Elephas maximus indicus: one gene and its partners. The protein of the gene in region 1 interacts with the protein of each later gene in a pairwise test. Links are inferred from orthologs where the notes say so. Each region holds a gene or a part of one and is shown in the gene's direction. Other genes may lie near its edges.

Region 1 (7,638 bases):
AATTCAACTAAGGATGATAATGAGAGGGAGGTCTTTGGGGGAAGTAGAGAAAAACTGTATGGAAGTTACTTTTAAGATGTGTCTTAAAGGGTGTTTGAGTATTTGCCTAGTAGAGAAGGAAGCTATTACTTTCAGGTGGAGGAAAGAGCATGCACCAAGTCAGGGAAGTTGGAAAAAGCAAAGTGTATTCAGAAAACTTAGTTCTTCAGTGGACCTAGAAAAGGAGGAAATTTGGAGCAAGCTGCATTGGGAGGCCAGAGAGGTAACTCGGGTCCAAAATGTGGAGGGTCCTATATGCCAGTGGTCAGTAGACTAGGATGTGCAGGCCAAATTAGCCCATGAGCTAAGAATAGTTTTTACACGTTTAAAGCAGGGCTTTGAACAGGTTCTTCCTGGTTCAATCATGACTGAGGAAATGACACTGGAACAGACCTAAATTTTTTAAAATTCGAGTGAACCAGAACCGTAACAGGAGCTGGGAAAATTACAAGTTGAAACCCTACTAGAAAGTTAATCTCCCTCTTGGAAAACAAGGGCAGCATACACATTGCATAACAACCAAATCTCTTGCCTATTGGATTTTGCGCGGAGTTGGAAACAGTGGTACCCCAATCAAAGATGGTGGCCTACCTCACTGCTTTGAATGTGTGTCGCTCTTCTCGGTCCTGGCAATAACCCAATCTCACACATCAGGCTCCTGAAAGGGCTCACTACACCTCTTCCGAGTCTCCCATTCCAGGGCTTCGATCCAAAATTTTTCCCATTCTGGTTATGATTACGGATCACCCAGATTTTTAAAAATTTGGTTCTGTTTCGGTTTTGCTTCATTGGCCATGACTGAACTGGTTCGAAGCCCTGGTTTAAAAGACTGTTTACAAAAGAAAAAGAAGACTATACCACAAACACCATTATGTGGCCAGCAGAGCCTAAAATATATTTACTATCCGACTCTTTACAGAAGTAGTTTGCCGACTTCTGCAGTATGTCATAAGAAGTTTAGGCTTAATGTTGTAACCAATGGGCAACTTTTACAAGTATTCAAGAAGAGAAAGAACAAGATCAGATGCAGGTTTTAGAAGAAAAATTCTGATGAAGAGTAGACTGGATTGGGGTGGGGTGGGGAGAAGCAAGAAAAGGAGGAAGGAGCCAATTGAGAGGCCATTGCAGTGGTCCAACGGGTGGGCTGACCATCAGGGAGAGAAAGGATGTCACAGTTTTGGTGGTGCAAGCATAGGATAAGTGACTGTGTAACTGTGGGAGAAAAGGGAGGGGAAAAGGAGGTGACTAATTTTTCTCCTTTGGGGAGCTTCAAAGATAGAGTGAAGTTGTTTGAATTTGCAGGTCATTGAAATGTGGACATCTAATAGGGAATAACAGTTGTAGCCAATGGGGGACATGAGATTGCTCAGGGAGTGTGAAGTGTTCTTCTGTTTGTTCTGCAACTTTTTGCTTTTCTCCATTCTGACTAAACAGTTTTTAACAAGTGAGGTTTCCAAGGAATGAGAAGTTAAGGAAAGGTGAAGCTCAGGATGGAATAGGGGACAACAGCTTCTTTAAAGATTCGTTATGGATGAAATAGTAAATGTTCTCAATTTCAAATAGTTATTCATAAACTTTTGGGACTCTATCCATTGGAAAGTTGGGGACTGTCTGAATTATGTTTTGGTAGAGTTGTAGATGATACCAGTGCTCATAATGAAAATGTTTATTAGTGTTGACTGAAAAGAAAAATTATTTACACTATTTAAAATGGAAATTAATAATAAATAAATAAATAAAATGGGAATTATAAAAAAAAAAAAAACACACATCACCCCCTAGAGAACATCAGGTTGATCACAGCACTTCGGAAAGTCTGTGTATATAATTTAGGTACACATTAAACCACTCTTCATTCAGACAACAAAATGACAGCTTTTTTGCTGTTGGGAAAGAGAAAATCCACACTAGAAAAATACATTATAAGGTGGTCCTTGATTTACAACAGGGTTCTGTTCTGACACGAGTCAGTTCTGACGTAAGTCAAATACTTCATTTTTTTTTGAAATTTTCATTATTATTGCCTTTTATTATCAGTATCTTTAAAAATCCAGTCTTTGTCTCTGGGGGTTGGAAACATTACATATAAACTTACAGATATATTTTAATACACACATACATAAAAAATACACAAATCATAAAAATTTTCTCCAAAGATGAAGAAGAGTTGGACGATGTTGGCATTTTGTCAGTTGCGGTAATAACTCCACTTTTGGAAAGTTCTGTGTCTTCTGAATTATCCCTGGGAATTGGGATAGTGTTTCTAATCAGAAAATTAGTAAGAGTTGTCTGTATGGTCCTTTTCTTTTTTTCTTCATATATTTCCTGGTAACATCTCACTGCTTCCTGAATCTGCCTATTGACTCTAGCAAAGTGATCAGCGTTTGGGTCCATGTTTTCAAGCAACCCAAACCCCTGATTTAGTTTAGAAAACTAAATCTATACAGCAGTGTTTTGAAGAGTTAATCATAAAATTGAACATCTTAGAGTGAACATCTGAGAATGATATCATCAGCACATATTACTAAGAATAAGATGTACAAAAAAAAAAGGACTGTCAGAAGTGCAATTAGTGGTAACTGGAATACATCTTAAGTTGGGGACTACCTGTACAACTAACTTCCTTAATGCAATGGCAAAGGCGTATCACTAAAGATGGAAGGGAAGAACATATTAAAAATTTTCTTTTCAGCCATCAAGGTCTTTGCAGAAATGATTGATTTTTAATTCACTTTTGGATACATTTAAGGTTTATTCTTTGGCATCCTAAGAGCAGCATTTTGTTTCTATTATCTCCCTTATTTCTCCATAGCCATTTGACTCTAAAAGTCATTTCCTTGACATGAAAGTGACTTCTTTCTGCAGTTGGCAGATATTGTGAAAGTGTCACTTGGATGTCATTGGCTCAGTCAACCCTCCATTTTGCTCTTCCAATTTATGATACTCCTTTCCCTTTTTTCTCCATTCTCTTCTTTTAACCCACCCAACTCTTCTTTTAGTAGCCCATTATTTGGCTATTTCTCTGTTAGTACCTTAACAGGAATGGGTGGATAATGGCGAGGAAGGAGCGTATGAACTCAAAATCAGTAACTTTTGGAAAAACACTTCAGTGAGAAGATGTGGAGTTATGCCCCCTAAAATCTTTGTTTCTGAAAAGTGGAGTCTTACACAAAGAAACCGGCCTTTGAGTTTGGAACACCCACTCCGGACAGCCTTAGAATTGCATTTTGGAGGCCACAGGCTTAGGATCATTACAGAACTAACTTTTGCATTTAAAGGGCCAGGATTTGAAATTGAGCCAAGCTCAATTATGCAAGTCAATATTTTAAGTAATTCAATCTACATCAGGATTCCTTGATTTTTCATTAAAACTAATATTGAGGGGCCTCATTTAATCGTACAGCAAATGCGGATGTAATGCAAGTTCAAAAGAAGTTTGGGGGCTGGTATATTTGTGAACTTGAGTTAGCTGCTTGGTGATCAACGTGGTTCTTCATTCTACAGAATCACTTGGGGCTTCTGGGTAAAGAAACTTGACCCTCATTCCTGTTAGATTTAAATAATAAAAAATCATAATGATACAAAGTTATGTCCTCTTGAGTAACTGGTGTCAGGCCACTTCCTAGCCCTTCTGCTGCCTCCCTTGAGCGCCTGGCAAGGAACACGTGCAGAGAAAATGGATAAAAAGGTTCCAATTCTCCGCAATAGCACGTTAGAAATAATTTCAATCGGTTGGTGAGCTCTTGCCTCCTTAGAAAAGTGTGGTTTCAAACAGGGCTTCTGTTATCTCTTTATAAAAGCCCTTTTCCCCAATGGCTTGAATTCTGGTAGTGTTCAAATGCCCAGCTGGTTTTGCGCTCTAAACCACGAGAGACCTTCCTACCTCCCCACCCCGCCACCCCAAACACTGAGGCTCTTTAAAACAAAACTAGGGTTAAGGAAATTCCGGAGGGGTGGAGGTGGGAAGGCGAGGCCAGTGGTGCAGACGTCAACGGACTACAATTTCCACAAGTCCTCGCGGGGGCTGCTCGCTGCCCTCCCCTCCCGACCCGTGAGACTTGCGCTTGCGCAGGAGGCCCCGCGCTGGAGGGGGAGGGGGCGGGGACTGGACGTGGCGCCTGAAGAGAAGGAGGAGGAAGAAAGAGAGCATAGACTTTCGCACCGGCCTAGAGCGGCCCTCAAAGTGTAAAAGAGAGGAGGGTGGGCGGGGACCACCCTCAACAGGCCCCCAGCGGAATCATGGCGACCCGGAACCCCCCTCCCCAAGGTGAGCGGTCCGGGCGCGGCTCACAGCTCCTGACCTTGCTCCGGGGGCGGCTTTACCTTCCCCTTCCCCAGGGTCTCTGGGGCTCTGTTTTTTCTTTGAGGCCGCCCGTTTAATACCCCCTCTGAGCTAGACTTCGTCCTCCCCTCTTGGTGGAGCGCTGGGGGAGAGCGACCCTCGCCCCCAAAGTAGCCCCACCCCTTGTCTGTCTTTTCAACCCCGGCCCCTCATCTTCAAACGGTTTTTTAGTCTGACTCTGGAGTGATTTCTTCTCTCCGGCTCCTGACCGATTCTTTGAGAGGAGAACCCCCCTCTTCTCACTGAAAATGGACCTTTCTCTGCTCCTTACCCTACTGAGATTTGGGTAGGTGGCCCCTCACTGCTGTGTAACTCTGATCTGACTGGCTTCGTGCCCCTGGCTGGTCCTTGGGCCTTTAGGAAGGAGATGGGCATATTATTTCTAGCCCCTTTTACTCTTGAAGTCCTAATAACACTCATCAGTTTCCGCCTGGACGTTTTTACCTGTAGGCCAAAAGTAACAGTGAATTGTAACATTAAAAAAAAAATGAAGGAACATTTATGACTTTAGATTGACTCTAAATTAATTTTTTTCTGTTTTTGTATTTTGAAGAGTATGAAAGTGATGACGAGTCTTACGAAGTGTTGGATTTAACCGAGTACGCAAGAAGACACCACTGGTGGAATCGAGTGTTTGGCCACAGTTCGGGACCTATGGTAGAAAAATACTCAGTAGCCACTCAGATTGTAATGGGTGGAGTGACTGGCTGGTGAGAAGAACATCTTTTTCATTAAATTCATTAGGAGCCTGGCCTCTGCCCTTTTGTAGGTGGGCCAGACTCAATACATATTGAGTGGGTTTACACTGTTAATCCTAAAATAGCACAGTTTTGAAGCTTTTCTCTGATATGATTGGTGTAATCTACGCTCAGACTCAGTGTTGGTTTTGATAATTCCCCTCCGTCATGCCTGCCAGGGTACCACTATTCCCTCCTCATCCTTCCTTTGATTTTTTTAATATAGATTCCTCTTTCTGAAGTTCAGCATATGTAGTGGATCTGACTCCGTAATAGTGAGTAAATAGAAAAAAATATTTAAGAGTTAACTTTATGTAAATGGAGCCCTGGTGGCACAGTGGTCAGGTGTTCAGGCTGCTAAACAAAAGGTCAGCAGTTCGAATCCAGCCACTCCTTGGAAACCCTGTGGAGCAGTTCTGCTCTGTCCTGTAGGGTCACTATGAGTCAGAATCGACTCAACGGCAACGGTTTGGTGTTTGGTTTGGCATGTGTAAATAATTTTTACATGTCACCCAGTGGTAACAACTGGAACAACCTGTGAGAAACTCACACAGTAGAACTGGTCTCCCGGATTGTCAGTGCTATAGGGAGCTGTGTAAAATCCTCATTAAGAATGGTTGATGATGATACAGATGGTTCTGTTCATTTTTGTGGGCTGGTTCTGATTATACCAGTGCTTTGAAGAGGAGCTGTAGAATGGTGGTTCTGTGTTGGAATTAAAGGGCTGGCTGCTTCCCTTCTAATATTGTGAAGTACGTTAAGGGGGAGCAGTTAATAGGCATTAGCCTAATCAGTTAACAATTTCGGACCACATGATTACGTAATTGCTGCTATGGATCTACTTTGGTTATTCCTGGAATAAAAGATTGGCCAAGTAACATGGATTAGAAACAAGTCTGACACTTTATTTTGAAAATGTACATGACTGTAGAGAATTTTTGTAGTGAGGGTACTTACAAATAATGGCTTTTTTCTTAGATTCTAAGTTAAATTTATCTTGCATTAATTTAAATATACTTGGTAAGTATAACTTTTTTTTTGATTTGTGTTTTTCATGCACTTTGAACAGTGGCACACTCCTCCATGCCTTTTTAAAAATGCCATTTTATGGGAAGATTCTGTAATGGAAAGGTGCAGTATTTATTAAGTGTATTTGTTAATGCGGCTGTATGAAAAAAAGCCCACAGTTAGAAGAGAGATGTCTGTTCGTGGCCTTGGTCATTCAAACAATTCTCCACAGGCTGGTTGTACTTTGATCCCCTAATTTAGGGTCTGGTCCTCTCTTTATATAAGCTCACAATTTGGTGCCATAGATGACTGGTTAAAGTGAGTCAGGGCCTAATGTCCAATCTTAAAAAAAGAGGCTAAGAAATAATTGAGAAACAGAATTATCAAATCACTATTTGTAGGCCTCATAATTGGCAGATGTTTGCTTGGAGAGCCTAGAGACAGAGCAGGGGGAGTTAGTAGGTTCATTTTAGCAGCTGATGCCATCATACACATGGTTGTGGAGCATGCTGTCCAGGATATCGTTGACACCGGAGACCTGGCTGCTGTTTGCTTCTTCCTCTTCCTTTTCTGAGCATTTGATGCTGCCCCCCCTTACTGAGGGATATGTTTTTTATAGTAATACATACATTTGAGTTATAGCCAGGTGGTAGCCCAGGAGCTGTGTGCAGTAGGACTCTAATATTATACAATGATTTGTTGCAATGACTATAGATTCAGTGTAGCAAATTTTTGCAATTTTCTAAGGGAGTGAAACTGATGTAATAATTTGTGTCATACATTAAAGAGGAAAGGTTAATAAGCACTAACCAGTTAACAATTCAGACCAATTCAGGACATGTATGGGAGGCTAAAGAGATTATATTTAGCTGTAGGTAGCTATAGGTTTTGGAGCATAGTGAAAATAAAACTGACATCAAGATGGGTGGTTGCTAGGAGAGACTGGAGCTCAGGGGAAGACCAGTTAGAGTGGTCTGGAAGCAAGGTAATAGATGCCTGATCCATTAGCAAGGTAATGATGCTCTCAAGAGCAGAAAGGAGACAGGGTCAAGTAATGTTATAGAGATAGAGTATATAGAACTTGGCAAACAGTTGGACCAAGGAGAGGATGGAGAAGGCTGAGTCTGAGATGAATATGAGATAGCAAGCCTGGAGAATGGTGCTGTCGCTTACAAGTTGGGGCCTTAGCAACAGTTGGTTTGGGTAGAAAAGTGATGCTTGCTTTGGGACATTTTGAATGTGTGGTTCTGGGTGCTAGAGAAGTCCAGAATGTAATTGGAAAATGTAAATTTACCATTTAGGAGGGCTAGACTTAGAAATCTGGGATTCTTTTGCATACTGTTGTTGTGTGCCATTGAGTCAATTCCAATTCATAGTGACCCTATATGACAGAGTAGAACTGCCCTATAGGGTTTCCTAGGCTGTAGTCTTTACAAGGGCAAATTGCCAGGTCTTTTGTCCCACAGAGCCGCTGGTGGTTTGAACCGCTGACCTTTAGGTTAGCAGCCAAGC
Region 2 (7,876 bases), on another chromosome or scaffold:
AGGCATAGTGTCAGCTTGCAAAATATCTAATAGTAGAAAATTTCCTTAATACACACCCTTCATGTTTCATGCTGTCAGTTAACCTTAAAGATAAGAGCATGCTTAATAGTTTTTTCTAAACATTTGATGTAGGTAAACATTGCCTCCAAACAAAGCTATATTCTACTTTTCATAGCCTATTTGTAAAAATTTCCAGGAAGTAGCAATCTGGTAGCAAATTTAGTGGTATTTAAACTCAGTGTCAGAGACACTGATACATTAAGACTATACATCAGCTTAATGGATCGGAAAAGTAAAGGCCAAACACTCGGTAATGGCTATAGGAATTGCAAATAAAGATCTTGGGAGGAAATTACAGAACGGGGTTGGCAAATGGATTTCAACATATTCTAACTCCAGTTTTGGGTCTCCTGCCTGCATCATTGTGTTGAGAAGGACTTTGAAGACGAAGTTAGTGCTCTGGGAAGGTGTATGACATAACCACGATCTAAAAGCAATGATTGCCACGGGCAGGCAGGAGGGACTGACTGCCAGCTGTTCCAGGTTTGGGCTTTTCCATGTGGCTCAAGGCAACTGGAGTTGTAGAGCTGGGGTCCCTACTGCTGCTTGCTGCGCATCTGCTTCATCCTTCTCACTCTGAAAACTGACTCCCCCCTTGCCCTCCTGCCCCGTGGACATCAGGAGATGCTACCCTCACAGCACCTGAGTTTACTGTCAGCAGTTGAAATAGAGTCTAAGCAGTGGCCTTTTACCTGTAGGGGTTCCAATCTGCAAAGAAGAGCAACTGTGTCTCCTTCATTTATGCATAAAGATAATTTACTGGAGGAATTTTAAAAAGTCATCAGAAAGATTAGTGGACTAACCTCAGGCAGGAACCAAGGAAGGCAAGGGTGAAAGAGGGATGGCCTGCTTTGGATGCAGACACCATCAGCACTGGACACATGTTGCCTACTGCTGCTGGACTTTCCGACCCTGGACACTCACCTTCTGCCACTGGACTCTCCACCGTAGCCACCATGCATAACTCTGTGTCACTCTTGTGTTCCTCTCTCAAAATTCAAAATTCCAGGCTAGAGCCTGGGATTAGCCCTACTGAGATCACGACATATTGTTAGAGGGTCAATTCTTGGGAAAGAGGAGCTTGGGCTAAACAGATAACCTTCAAAAGGTGTCGGTGGCATGCTGTATTCTGCTAGGTGAGAAGATGCCAAGTGCCCATCAAGCTGAGAAATTGCTGTCACAGAAGAAAGAGGAAACAAGTTGAGGGTGTGAAAGTTTAAAGCTGTGGGTAATGTTACTTAGGAATAGGCAGAGTGGGTATAAGAAGCTAGTCCTGTACTAGGGACTTTGGTAGCTATAACAGGCCTGGGGCCAAACAGTGAGGGAGAACAAGAAAGAATTGATGCCTGAGAAATAAACCAAGAGATGACCTCAAGGTAGATGTTAACAGCAAAGAGAGACTGCCAGAAGATAGGCCTAGAGCTGGGAGGCATGCCACGCCAGGGGGAAATTTTAAGATTGTAGACGAGCCAAAAAATAAAAATAAAAAAAGTTAAAAGCTGGAGAGCAACAAAAGGCAGCAGTGAGATGGGGTGAATTTGCTAAAGCCCCTGTAACATTGCCATTTGTGACATCTATTAACTGACTTAGCTCTCTTAGGCAGCTTTTCCCAGTTGAGGGGGAATAAAAACTGTAATGTCCGAATCCTGAAGCAGTGAAGATGCCCAGAGCACTGAGAAATGGCTGTGTTACTACATTTCTCCTGTGAAGTTAGCACACTGAGCCTACACTCAAGGATAAATACGTTCATTTTGCCTGATCCTTGAAATCTTTGCTTACAGGGGTGCTCATATTCTTCTGAATTGGGCCTAGGAGCAGTTTTGGTCAGATGAAGGAGGCAACGCTAAGGTGGTGAGATAACTTCAGACGCAGAGTGGACATGAGGAGATCCAGTCTTTGAGTGGTTAGCTCAAGTCCCCTGGAAGGTATGTGGGGAGAGTAGTAGTGGGGACAGCTTCTAACAGCAGAGACCAATACGTGTAGCCTATGTAGGACCACAGGCTTTCTACTCTTACCAGGAACGGAAAATCATCATCTGAGCCTCAGTGATGGAGGCAGCAGCAACAGTACCCTAAACAAAGGCATTTCCTGGCAGAATAACAAGTTCCAGGGTAATAGTGCACCCAGCTAAACGCCAAATCTTTTGAACTACCAGCCAGTCAAGTAACTCAGCATTAATGAACTTAATAAATGAAAACCTCTCACTTTTGTAGGGACTTAACATACTTAAATAAATTTAAATAGATAGTTTTATTTATTTAAAGCTTTTCCATCCAGCAGTCTTTCCCATGGATTTAAAGATTTATGTCTCTTAACACTCCTTAAAGACATATGTACATACTAGGCCTTTATCCTGCACGGGAGGGAAACATTGGCGTGAGCATCTTCATTTCTCCATTTCACCAGTAAAAGATTTTCAGTTAAAAGCAATTTCTGTTATATCAGATTCTCTCTCTGCCTTAATGTTTGATTACTGGAAATAGATGAGCCTCCAGGTTATTTAGACTGAAGCTTGGCACTGAATGATGAGTATTCCAAAAAAGAAAGGCAATGAGATAATAAAAAAAGAATCAAAATGAGGGATAAAAGAAAAAAACACAAGGATAAATCAGTATAATCTGTAACATCTAGTAAGAGATTTTGACACCTTCTCCTGTCTTTACAATCCCATAGAGAACAGCTTGAAAACCATCTCACCCCTTAAACTGGGCTAAACTGGTTATTTTAGAGCAGATTTTTTTTGAGGCTGAGAGTTTAGGAAAAGAGACAAAAAATTAATCTAGATTTTATTTAGAAGTTTAGAAAAGCAACAGCTCAAGGAATTTATTTTCTAGTTTTACAAAAACCTGAATATAAATTTACGTGAAAGGAGAAAAGATCGCTCATATAGAAAAGTGCTCAAGGTAGTTAATAGCAAATGAATTTTCAGCATGTGTACCTCTTTGTTAATGTGCGTGTCTATGCCTACCTTTGGTTCATTTGGTGAGCTGAAAAATTACTTTTTTTTTTTTAATTTTTAGATGCATGTCCTAAGTTCCTAGAGTACCAGATTTCTGAAACTTACCATTGTGTTGTTTCGTGGGTATTTGTTGGAGATGATTTTGAATTTCTCTAAAAACCACACACAAAGGAAACCAACAATCCCACATTAAACAATTCCACCAAAGAGGAAATACAAAGAGGAAGTCAGTCTAAGAGTGTGACAGGGCAAAAGTGATTTCAGCAGAACCAAGCTAAACCCGGTGCATCGGGTGGATTCCGACTCACAGCCATTGTATATGACGGGGTAGAACTGCTTTTTAGGGTTTCCCAGGAGTGGCTGGTGGATTCCAAGTGCTGACCTTTTTGGTTAGCAGCTGAACGCTTAACCACTGCGGCACCAGACCCCAAAAGCTTCAATGTGCAGCCCGTTCCAACCTTGACTAACCCTTATCTTTATCCCAGTTTCTTCTGGGTCCTCCCCAGTTTCCTCCAGGGACTGACTATAGGCAAAGAGCAAAGATGATGGGATTCAGATGGACACGACTCTAGTTGTGGCTGTTCCAATTTCGAGGTCGCAGCCTCAGTTTCCACAGCTGTCAAACGGGGTAATAATATCCTGTCCCAGCTCTCTCACTGGGTTGTTGTGAGAATCAGATAAGAAAACCCCCACTGCTAGGACAGTCCTAACAGAAGTCAGCTTCGGCCCCCCTCCAGGAACGCCTGGTCGACCTACAGTCAACAGGAAGCTCCGGGGCAGGGACAGTCTGCCGGCCTCGGATGGAAGCCAGACTCGAACGTTTTTGGACGGCGATCAGGATGGTGTTAGTAACGCCCCCCTGGCTCCCGCGGCTGCGCTGAGATTTCACTATCAGCGACAAAGGGTGTGGAAGCACAGTACTGCAAAGCAAACAACCGACAGACACAAAACCCTCCACCCGTCCGTCCCCCCGAAAACAAACACAGCCCCCCGGCCTTCACACAGCGGGGCAAACGAGAGAGAAGGGCAGAAGGGGGCGGGATCCGCGCCCCGTTCACTCTCCCGCCGCAGCCCGGTCGGCCGGTCCGAGGCCCCCGGGGGCGCGCCTGGGGAGGGGGCGCTGTGGCTCGCTCTTCGGGGTGCAGAAGCACCTCCTCCTCACGCCCCTCAGCCTGCTCCGCCTCGGGAATCAGCCCCGGACCCCGCCGCCATGTTGGGTCGGGATCAGTGACTCGGACTCGCCGCCGACGGAGAGCGCGCCAGGGCGGCCGGGCCCCGAGGGGCGCAGGCAGCGCGCCGAGGCCGGAAAGGGCGCCGCGCCGGGCCCTGGGCGCCAGTTCCGGTAGGCGGCCCGCCGCGCGCAGGTAGCCGGACCCCCGCCCGGCCCGCGAGCAGCGGAGGGGCGGAGCCGGGAGGGGGCGGAGGGCGAGGCCGGGGGCGGGGAGCCCGGGAGTTCCCTCCTCCTGAAGGAACGAGTCCGGGTCCGGCTCCGCCGCCGCCGCCGCCGCCGGGCGCCCCGGACGAGTGGCTGGAGGAGGGAGAGGGCCCCGCGGGCCCCGCCGCCGCCCGCCGCCCCCTCCTCCCCGCCCCGAGCCGCAGCAGCAGCGACTCAGGCGACGGCGGCGCGGGAGCAGGTAAGACCCGGCGGGCCCCCGCGGCGCGGCGAGGGGAGGCGGCCGACCCGGCCGGGACAGCGCTAGGCCCGGCGTCCGCCCACGCCCGGAGGCGCCGCCGCCGCTTCCCGCCCCCGCGGGCTCCCGGCCGGGAAGTTGGGGGAAACTTCTCCCCTCCCCCGGCCCGGCTCGCCCGGCGCTGCGCCCTCCCCCCGGCGGGCGTGTCTCCCTCCCGGGGCTACCTGCTCGCCCCCGGCGCGGTCTCCGCCCCGTCCCGCCCGAGTCCGACCGAAGGTCCTCGCGGCTTCGGACGGGGGCCCCGCTTCATGTCGTGGTCTGCTCGGCTAGGTGGGGGGAAAAAGCGGGGTTTATTTTGGCTCCCACGACTCAGGTAGGGGACGAGGCAGGCGACCCCTTTCCGTCCCAAAGGTTGGGGACCTATGTGTTGGCTGACACCGGGTGGCGACCGTGCTGGGAGAGAAGGCGAGGGTGTGGGGCGAGTGGCTGAGCCTCCCGCTTCGCTCGGTTTGATTGAAAGCCGCGACATGTTAAAGTTTCCCTTTGTTTTGGGTTGGGGGTTGGGGAGGAAATATGCCATTCAGGACCCACTTCTACGATGTTATGCTTCTCCGCCTCCTGTTTGGTTCGGTTCTCTGCGCACATGTGGTGGAGAAAATTGGTTGTGAAGTGTGTTTTTCTTTTTGGTGATTGCTCCCAGCTTTTGCTTCCTTGGTCATGTAGGCAGAGTTGTTTTAAAACGCTCTTCAGAAATCAAGTCTGATGTAGGGACTACTTTAGTATTTGTTTTGTAGGGAGTGGGGCACAACGTAGTTCGAATTTGGTTGAATTATTTCATGCAAAATTAATTGATAGAGGAATGGAATAGCATACAGTCTAGTAAATTACAAATTGTTGAAGAGTCCCTGGTAGAAGCACAAGTTTGTGTACACGCTATTTATTACGTTTACATGTAACATTAGTGTCTGCTTTCCCATACAGGCGTATCTGTGCGTTGTAACGGTAGGGTTACAGTGCCGAAGAAGTTTGATAATTCTGAGTGTTTTAACTATCCTGTTAAATTTCTATAGTTAAAATATACACTAGGGAAAATATTACTAAATGTGCACACGTGATTGTAGGTATTTAAGGCAAAGTAAATAGTGAGTCTAATATCTAAAGTAGCATAGTGCTTGACACACAGAGGGCAGTAAACATTTTGAACGGACAGGTAATGGAGTGTCTCGCATCACATGTGATTTTCATCCACTGTATGGTTATGTGTGTATAACAAATGTGTGAGACTCTTTGCCTTAATTGACATTTAAGAAAATGAATTTTAATTTGGGAACATTAACTACAAATCAGTAGTGATTTTAAATGCTGATTGGCAATTCAGAGGGTCCTAAATTTTGAATAAAAATACATTGCCTTTAATCCGAATCTAAATACAAGATACTTCATATCCCTATTTCCGGGATAAAAGAAAAAAGGACTCTTAAAATATGTACCCTGCTGTAACCACCATAATGTTGTTATAGCTTTAATTTTGCAGTATGTTTTTGCTGACTTCATAAACCACAAAATTGACTCCTTTCTGTTCAACCAAAGTGAAATTACAGCTTTGACTATCTTCCTGGGGTAGGTGGAATTTGTCTTATGGCTGAAGTATAATATTAATACATGGTTTAAGTTTTTTTAATTCAGGAAATTTGCAACCTGAAATATTAATGTCTCTGCAGATAAATCTGCATGATACGCAATGTTAAAAGAATAAGTGTTCTAAAAGAGCAACAGTGGCCCCTTAAAACTCAGTTATCAGCAACCCAGGGTGTAAGACTTGTTCGTGCAGAGTTCCAATTTGAATCTTTTCAGGCAGTGAATAATTTGTTAATGTGGGTGATTTTTGTTCACAAATATATTTAGTTCTCAATCTAGTGAGTCTGTTCTGTGTAGGTATCATTACGTCCTATTAGCATTAACAGAGAAGCTTAATATTAAAGTTTTAAAGAGCAGTACAAAACTGTAGCATCTAGGAAAGCAAATTTCGGTGACAAAACTGTTTAAAAAAAAGTGGAAGAAAATGATTTCTATAAAAATACAAATATGAGAGGAGGGCAGAGATTGTGATTGGGGCAAACACATGGACCAGATTTCTGGAGTGGTGGCAAAGTTCTATTTCTTAACCTGGTGGCAATTGCAAGGGTATTGACCTTAGTATAATTCATTAGGCCATACATGTGTTTTGTGTGCCTCTCCGTATCTGAGTTTTATTTTCCATAGAATTATTTTATTAAAAAAGACCGTGAATAATGTACTGTTTAAGGTACTTTGTTTAAGAACTTAATATTTGGTAACTGTCTGGACTGCCCTTGCCAAACGGAATTGATTTATTTTTTATTATTGTGCTTTAGATGAAAGTTTACAGAACAAACTAGCTTCTCATTAAACAATTAGTACATACATTGTTTTGTGACATCAGTTACCAACCCCACAGCATGTCAACACCCTCCCTTCGGGACCTTGGGTTCCCTATTACCAGCTTTCCTGTCCCCTCCTGCCTTCTACTCCTTGCCCCAGGGCCGTTGTGCCGCTTTAGTCTCTTTTTGTTTTATGGGCCTGTCCATCTTTTGGCTGAGAGGTGAACCTCAGGAGTCACTTCATTACTGAGCAAAAAGGGTGTCCGGGGGCGATACTCTTGAGGTTTCTCCAGTCTTTTTCAGGCCAGTAAGACTGGTCTTTTTTTGTGAGTTAGGATTTTGTTGTACATTTCTCCAGCTCTGTCTGGGACCCTCTACTGTGACCCCTGTCAGAGTAATCAGAGGTGGTAGCTGGGCACCATCTAGTCATGCTGGACTCAGTCCAGTGGAGGCTGTGGTAGTTGTGGCCTATTACTTCCTTGAACTGTAGGATTAAGTCATAATTGTCATACCAGCTAGTGTATACAGCTACCTTGAAAATGTTAACATACTTCCAGATATGTAACAATTAAAGGATTTTGAAAAAATATTTCTAAGTGACTATTTAGGAATGTAAATAAATTTGCGCTTCATTTCCTTTAATACAGTAGTTAGTATTTTCAGGGAAGATATCAGGGTTTGCGTTCAGGTTTTAGAATCCTCTTCAGCTTGTTTCATGGTACCTGAGAAATAGTAGGTCATCAAAGTGTTTATTGGACTAATGGATGCTGTACTGTCATCGAGTATAAAATACATCCAGTTTTCAGAAAAGTATGTAACATGACAAT
Region 3 (7,934 bases), on another chromosome or scaffold:
AGAGTATCTGTTAGGATGGATTTGGCTGTAAAGAACAGACAACTCTGGCACAGCCTGGCTTAAACAGAAATGACATTCATCATCTAATAACACAAGGAGTCCATTTTCTAAGATCCTCTTCGCTTTGTTCTCCTCTTGGTTCTGGCCTCATCACCAAACTGGGAACAAGATGGCCACAGAAGTTTCACGCTTCCCATCCAGATCCAGCAACATCCAGTCAGAAAGAGGTATTCCTCTTCCAGCATCTCCTTAAGAGGAATTATTTCCCAGAAGCCCTCTTCCCCCTGCCCCAAGCAGATCTCCTCATACCAATCACTGGTTCCAAAGGAGTCACAAACTCAACCCCACACAAATCCCCTGGCAAGAACAGGACCACCAGAATTTACGCCTGGAGCTGGGGAAGGGGCCACCCTGAACAAAATCAGGGCCCTGCGTTCAGGAAGATGGCAAAACCACTGTCAGGTAGGAACTAAAGGTGTCTGCCCAACAGCAGACTGAATGGACAGCTGGAGAGGTGCGGAGGGGAGGACCTGGAAGGTCATTTGATTTCAGGAACACCTTTTTTAGAGTTCAAGATTCTTCACAAAGAATTCTCCTTTAACTCCAGTCACACAAAATATGAAAAATCTCCTCCTCCAAGCAAATTCACAGCCTTCTAAAGTCACATTGTTTTCAACTTCCTTTGTTCCTACCCCTTCACCCCCGACCTTGTACGCAGGCTATTTTTCTGTAGTAGGTTCCCATGGAGTAGCTCCTTCCTTCTTCCTTGCTCCGTAACATTGGTCACAAACATTTTCACAGGTGGCTGGCTCCCCCATCTCTGCAACACTGAGCCTACCCCATTAATATCTCACCTAGTGGCTATGCCACAGTTCATGCCACCATATTCACATACTGGACATTCGTGTCTATCCCACTCTTTGACTACAATATTTGTGACAGGTGTGGCTGGACTTTTTTTTTCTTAAATAATGTTTTATTATGTTTTAAGTGAAAGACTACACAGCAAACGAGGTTCCCCTTTAACAATTTTTATACTTATTGTTCTGTGTGGTTACAATTTTCACAAAGTGTCAGCAACCTCATTATCTCCCTTCTGTTTGTTCTGTTTCCATTGATCTAGCTTCTCTTCCCCTCCTTGCCTTCTCATCTTTGCTTTTTGGTAAATGTTGACCATTTGGTCTCATAGGGTTAATTGTTTAAGGCAGCACATTACTCATGGGTGATATTCTTTATTTAATAAGCCAATGTATTATTTGGCTGAAAGGTGCCCAGCAAAAATTGATTCAGTTTCAAGTTCAAAGGGTATCTTAGGGTGATAGTCTCAGGGGTTCCTCTCATCACTATAGATTCAGTAAGTCTGGCCTTTTTTGGGAATTTGAATTTTGTTCTACATTTTTCCCCCATTCTATCAGGCACCTTCTATTGTGTCCCTGGTCGGAATGGTCTGTAGTGGTAGTTGGGCACTATCTAGTTCTTCTGGTCTCAGGCTAGAAGAGGCCGTGGTTCATGTGGGCTGGACATCTTTTTATTGTTGTTGAGAATATATACAGCAGAACATAAACCAATTCAACAATTTCTCCATGTACAATTCAGTGACTGATCACATTTTTCAAGGTGTATAACCATTCTCAGCCTCCTTTTCTGAATTGTTCCTCCCCATTAACAAACTCACTGCCCCCTGAGTTTCCTATCTTTCAAATTACTGTTGTCAATTTGATTCTATGTAGACAGTTCTTAAAAGAGCAAAATGCTGAAGGCAGATATTCTTTACTAAATAAGCTGAACTAATGTTTGGTTTAAAGAATATTTCAGGGGATATTTTTGGTTTAAGGTTTAAAGATCTCAGGGCAATAATGTCAGGGGTTCATCCAGCCTCCATGACTCCAGAAAGTCTGGATTCCATGAGAATGTGAAATCTGTCCTGCATTTCCTCCCTTTTGTTCAGGATTCTTCTATAGAATCTTTGATCAAAATGTTCAGTAACGGTATGGTGGGCATCTTTTAGACTTTCTACATTTGGAGAAATTCCTTGCAATCAGCCCTGCCTCTCCAATATCAAAGACTACATCTCAGCCTCCTCTGATACAAGAACCTTGACATATGATCTAGGCTTCTTCTATCAGACATATCCATGTGAGACTTTGAATTTGCCTGGCTTTGGGGGCAGAGGGATGATCACTTTGATGATGCAAACATGGCTTCAGTGTTTCCAGCAATAGCTGCTGCAGACAAGTCTAAGTCCTGGCACTTCGTGTTTGGTGGCAGTGACAGCAGCAGCAGTTTTCTTATTTGTCAGTCCTATGGCTTGGGAGTATCTCTCTAGTCCTCCCCACAAATCTGTAAGCTGCCCAATACTCTCTAATAAATCCCTCCCCTGCTTAAACCAGTCAATGTAAATTATCTGTAAATCAAGATTCCTGACTGATCGATTTACTATTACAGAATATGCTACACTCAACAGCGCCACAAAAGTTTTTCTTCCTTTGGACCCTCTTCTTAGCACTGTTTCTCAAACCTCAGTCATTTACGTATCACTGAACCACTTGTGTAGAAATTGTTGAATGGGAGCCTAAAGTGCTAGGTGAACCTTCACTGAAAACTCAATATTTAAAAAAATCAATCAGTAAATACACTTATGATAGAAATAACATACATAGACAATGACAGAAAACATAGCAGAGGTTGCCTGAGGGCTGGTGTGGGGGTGAGAAATCGGGGGCTGAGAGAGGGATTACAGTGCATCATGAGGAAATGTTTGGGGGAGAGTGATAGACATGTTCATTATTTTGATTGTTGTGATGGTTTTGTGGCTCAAAAACACGTCAAAACGTACCAAATTGGACAATATGTGCCATTTACTGTAAGTTACACTTCATTAAAGTTGCTAAAAAGTAATAAATAAATACAGTACCACTAGCATAGAAACCATTAGTTCATATGTCACCCAAAAAAACTCCCACCCCCACCAGTGGCTGATAGTATTTCAGGATAAATTCCCAGGAGCGGAGTGACTGAGGGGCACAGAAAAGACAAAGAAAACATTTCCATACTTATACCAGCCCTTTTTAGGCAGAAATGATGGGTTGGAGGGCCAGAAAGACGCAAGTTCCTCACTTTATCTGAGCAATCTGTAAAATAATACATAATTTAATGTATTAAATAATAGTACAGTGCAGTGCTTAAGAGCACATGTTTTTAGGGCTTTTGAGGTTTGGGGGGGTTAATCTTCATCTCCCTGATTCTCAGTTTTCTCACCTGTAAAATGGGGAAAATAACAGATCTGACCACACATCAGGTAACACTGGGAACACTGATTGTGAATCAATATAGAACATTTGCACAACGTTTGATACATAAAAAGCTCTAGTTCAGACTCCTTTCCCAAACTCCTTTCAGCTGAAGGAGGAGGGCAAGGTGTTTGTTACACCCTGTGCCCAGACTCCACTGAATCATAATCTCCAAGGGAGCAATCAGGGAATCGATTTGAAACAAGTGCTGTCTATTGAGTCGTAGGTTCGGGTAAGTTTTGGAAACGTTAATCAGGATCAGGGTTGCTACGAGTCAGAATAGACTCGACAGCAGTGGGTTTGGTTTTTTGGTTTTATTATTTCAGGCTGATGTCGGATGCTGCGATGAGATGATGGATGTGAGAGCTAAAGGTTATTTACTACTCTTTCAGTCAGTCAGTCAGTCAACAGACATTTATTGAGCACTCACTATGTGCCCTGCCCTATGTTGGGTGCTAGGGACACTTCCAGGAACAAGATTCAGGCTGGTCCCTCATCCTCGATGTTATCTGTAAAATGAGGTGGGGGCGGGGGTGGGGGAGGAGAGAGACAAGGGAATTTCCCCCTGGGCCGCAGAAGGGGCTACAGGAGTAGACGACAGAGCCTTGTCTTAGGACTCCGACCCTATGAGGTCAGCCAGTACAGAACCGGGGGTGCGGTGGGGACAGATATTTGAGGGGCAGGGACTGTTCCAGCTGGAAGTCCCAAGACCCCATCCCTGACTTCAGCGTAGCTCATTTCCTCTCAGGTCCAGATGTCAGAATCTCCCTATTAAATGGATACTATTATTCCCATTTTACAGATAAGAAAACAAAGGCTCAGCGGAGAGATGGGTCACACTGGAGCCCCTGCCCCGAAAGGCGTCCAGGACCTGGTCCTACCTCCATTGCGGCTCGAAGGCCGCGAGAACCGCGCAGTGGGTCGGAATCCAGGGGATCCGGGACCTCTCTGCGCCGGGCCCGGGACTTTCTTGAGTAGTCCGCACCCAGGCCGCCTCTACACCCTCTGGACCCGGCGCGGACCTACCTGACTTCCACCCTAAACCCTCCGCCTTGGAAAATGCAAGGCCCACCGGTGCCACCTGAGAAAAGAACATAGCCCGTCAGGCGGCTAGACCCGATCGCATCGCGGAAACCTCCACCCTTCCCCTCCCGGAGACACCTGCACTTTTCCCGACGTCCTCTGCCTTGTGTCCGGAAGTCGGCGGAGAAAGCAGTGGAAACTGGTGGCTAGAGGCGCCCGGACTCGCCTTCTCGGCCCTCACTTCCGCCGGAAGTGACTTCAGCAGTAAGTGTCCTTTGGCTGTTGCACGCGCGGGTTGCCGCTACGCGGTACGCGGGGCGCCTGCACCACCATAATGGCGGCCACGACCCTGCTGCGCGCGACGCCCCGCTTCTGCGGTGAGGGGGCAGGGAGGGCGGTGGCAGCCTGGGGACCCGTAGGGTGCTCCGGGGGTGGCCGGGCTCGAATCCGCGTCCTGACTCCAAGCCTCTGTCCCGCAGGTCTCGGCGCCGGCCCGACTTCACTACTGCAGGGCCTGTTGTGGCCGCCAAAGGCCCCGGCACTGCCCCTCTTGTGTCGAGGCTTGGCAGTGGAGGCCAAGAAGGTCTATGTCCGCGATAGGCCCCATGTGAACGTGGGTACCATCGGCCATGTGGACCACGGCAAGACCACGCTGACAGCGGCCATCACCAAGAGTGAGCGGGCATGGGCTGGGGGCGTCCGGTAGTGCCCGATCTAGAGACAGGACCTGGAGCCAGGAAACTGGGCCCCTGAGCGGCTGCTGGACGTGTTTCGTGTGGCCTTGGGAACCAGAACTCGGGCAGGCGGTAGAGTGGAAGATGCAGATTTCCCTTTAACCTGAAGAACTTTTTGATGCATGAATTGGGGGACCCTGAACTGCCTCCCCCTGGAGAATTCGCAGGGCTGGACCTTGAGGACTGTAATAGCCCTTTCTGATGCAAAGTTAGCTCTGCTGGAGAAATCGGAGATTGGAGGGAGAGGGATTACAGAATTTTTATCCTCCCAGACTCATTCGTTTAGGTGGGAGGGGCTCAGGGGTGTGGCCTGAGCCCTGCCCGTAGCCTTGGAAGTTTAGCTGAGAGGTGTGTCTCTTCCCTCCAGTTCTAGAGGAGGGCGGCGGGGCCAAGTTTAAGAAGTATGAAGAGATTGACAATGCTCCGGAAGAGCGAGCTCGGGGTATCACAATCAACGCAGCCCATGTGGAGTATAGCACTGCCGCCCGCCACTATGCCCACACAGACTGCCCAGGCCACGCAGATTACATTAAGGTGAGAGAGTTACTGAGGACCTCTGGGGAGAGGACCAGGAGCTGCCTTCTGTCAGGATAAATGGTGGGCATAAGGAGAGAAGGTTATGATACTGAGATGTAGGTATTTGAGACTATGGATTTGTGGCCATGATGACTCAAAGTTGGGGGGTGAGGAGATGGAAGGGAAATGTGAGCCTCAGTTCTCAATTGCTGTGCTTGGTCAGATGGATATGGAGCCGAGGAGGCCACTGAACTTGGCTGAGTGTTTCCTCTCCTCCCCCAACCCAGAATATGATCACAGGCGCCGCTCCCCTCGATGGCTGTATCCTGGTGGTGGCAGCCGATGACGGCCCCATGCCCCAGACCCGAGAGCACTTATTACTGGCCAAACAGGTACTCAAGAGCTCAGGTGGGGTGCAAAGGGGAAGAGTGGCCGTTGGGCCACTCTGGACACCATCCCTTGTTATCTTTCTCCATCTACAGATCGGGGTAGAGTACATTGTGGTGTATGTGAACAAGGCAGATGCTGTCCAGGACTCTGAGACGGTGGAGCTAGTTGAGCTGGAAATCCGGGAACTGCTCACTGAGTTTGGCTACAAAGGGGAGGAGGCCCCAGTTATTGTAGGCTCTGCTCTCTGTGCCCTTGAGGTGAGGATAGGGACAGTAGGGGGCTGCTGGCAGAGGATGAGGCTGGATGGGCAGGCAGAGCTCTGCTCTGAGTCCAGAGAGTGATGCTTGGTAAGAGGAGCAGAGTGGATTTTTAAGAGTCCTGTCAATTCCCTTCACAGCAACGTGACCCTGAGCTAGGCCTAAAGTCAGTGCAGAAGTTGCTGGATGCTGTGGACACTTACATCCCAGTGCCCATTCGAGACCTGGAGAAGCCTTTCCTCATGCCTGTAGAATCTATTTACTCTGTCCCTGGTGAGGACCAGACCATGCTTGTTTGTACCCTCTACCCCAGCAATAGCTTAGCCGAGCGTCCCTGATGTCCTTTCCGGCTCCTTTTCAGGCCGGGGCACGGTGGTAACAGGTACGCTGGAGCGTGGCATTTTGAAAAAGGGAGACGAGTGTGAGTTCCTGGGACATAACAAGAACATTCGCACTGTGGTGACAGGTATAGGAAGCCTTGGGACCCAGGAGCTGACCTTTCACCTTGTGAATTCCTCGTGCTTTCTCCTCTAACCCAGGTACTCCTCCTTGTCCCTTTTGCCTCCTTTCTTCTTTTCTAGGCATTGAGATGTTCCACAAGAGCCTGGAAAGGGCAGAGGCAGGCGATAATCTTGGAGCCCTGCTCCGAGGCTTGAAGCGTGAGGACCTGAGGCGTGGCCTGGTCATGGCTAAGCCAGGTTCCATCCAGCCCCACCAGAAGGTGGAGGCCCAGGTGAGGGCTCCAGCTGATGGTGGGCAGGGCTAAGCCACACTGTCCCCTGCATGGAAGCAGTGCTTCTAGTCAAGTCCAGCTGCACCTTCATTGCTCTCCTACAGGTTTACATCCTCAGCAAGGAGGAGGGTGGCCGCCACAAGCCTTTTGTATCCCACTTCATGCCTGTCATGTTCTCCCTGACTTGGGACATGGCCTGTCGTGTCATCTTGCCCCCAGGGAAGGTATGTGGGTATAGGGAAGTGTGAAGGAGTGACACCAGCTCTGCCTCATTCATAGTTCAAAAGATACAATGTGACAACTAGGGTGACTTGATTGCTGTGGATCAGCCAGAGGCTGACTGTTGATATAGGTGAAAGTAGATGGGAGGGTCTAGACTAGTGGATCTAGAGGAACTGAGTCCTCACCCAGTGTGCCCTAGGCTGAAGTAGGTTAAAAGCTAGCTATACCAGCATTTATCTCCAGAAAGATTTCCTAGGAAAGAACCCTCTTGTTATTTAAGTTTCACAGTATATGAGGGCTCAGAGAAGTCCTGCAACTAAGAAACCTGTATAACCCAAAATTTCCTAGACTTTTTTTTCCAAGAATATACCTTGGAAACACTGGTATCATTTGTCCCATTCATTCTTTTTGTCTTTGCACATGCTGTTGAGTTTGCCTGACAGCTGGAATGAAGCTGTCCCTTGACAGAATCATCACCCTGATGTATTCTTCTGGGTTTCTCAACCTCCACAGTAGCCACCAGTTACTGAATGAAGGCAAGGCACACTGAAGTTGACAGGTGACATTATCTCTGTGTCTCCCTCCAGGAGCTTGCCATGCCCGGGGAGAACCTGAAGTTTACCCTGATTTTGAGGCAGCCAATGATATTAGAAAAGGGCCAGCGTTTCACCCTTCGTGATGGCAGCGGGACCATTGGCACTGGCCTTGTCATTGACACACTGGCCTTAACTGAGGAGGACAAGAAGATCAAGTGGGGTTGAGTCTCTGG

What was found. The genes of interacting proteins can lie anywhere in the genome.
Region 2: the proteins of FUNDC1 (region 1) and YES1 interact in binary tests that used the Homo sapiens proteins (3 or more experiments, as listed by UniProt). The two-hybrid records come from large-scale screens. The link is inferred for Elephas maximus indicus from reciprocal best matches to the Homo sapiens genes FUNDC1 and YES1.
Region 3: the proteins of FUNDC1 (region 1) and TUFM interact in binary tests that used the Homo sapiens proteins (3 or more experiments, as listed by UniProt). The two-hybrid records come from large-scale screens. The link is inferred for Elephas maximus indicus from reciprocal best matches to the Homo sapiens genes FUNDC1 and TUFM.

The regions. Positions count from the first base shown.
Region 1 is NC_064846.1:128,603,839-128,611,476, forward strand, and holds the start of FUNDC1 (FUN14 domain-containing protein 1), read left to right. Parts: upstream 1-4,133; 5' UTR 4,134-4,278; coding exon 4,279-4,306; intron 4,307-4,934; coding exon 4,935-5,091; intron 5,092-7,638. UniProt on the Homo sapiens protein: Integral mitochondrial outer-membrane protein that mediates the formation of mitochondria-associated endoplasmic reticulum membranes (MAMs).
Region 2 is NC_064829.1:17,547,081-17,554,956, reverse strand, and holds the start of YES1 (tyrosine-protein kinase Yes), read left to right. Parts: upstream 1-4,517; 5' UTR 4,518-4,653; intron 4,654-4,715; exon of another isoform or gene 4,716-5,023; intron 5,024-7,876. UniProt on the Homo sapiens protein: Non-receptor protein tyrosine kinase that is involved in the regulation of cell growth and survival, apoptosis, cell-cell adhesion, cytoskeleton remodeling, and differentiation.
Region 3 is NC_064830.1:88,835,299-88,843,232, forward strand, and holds the start of TUFM (elongation factor Tu, mitochondrial), read left to right. Parts: upstream 1-4,575; 5' UTR 4,576-4,647; coding exon 4,648-4,690; intron 4,691-4,792; coding exon 4,793-4,987; intron 4,988-5,414; coding exon 5,415-5,581; intron 5,582-5,850; coding exon 5,851-5,955; intron 5,956-6,045; coding exon 6,046-6,210; intron 6,211-6,350; coding exon 6,351-6,483; intron 6,484-6,571; coding exon 6,572-6,676; intron 6,677-6,791; coding exon 6,792-6,943; intron 6,944-7,047; coding exon 7,048-7,167; intron 7,168-7,752; coding exon 7,753-7,926; 3' UTR 7,927-7,934. UniProt on the Homo sapiens protein: GTP hydrolase that promotes the GTP-dependent binding of aminoacyl-tRNA to the A-site of ribosomes during protein biosynthesis. Also plays a role in the regulation of autophagy and innate immunity.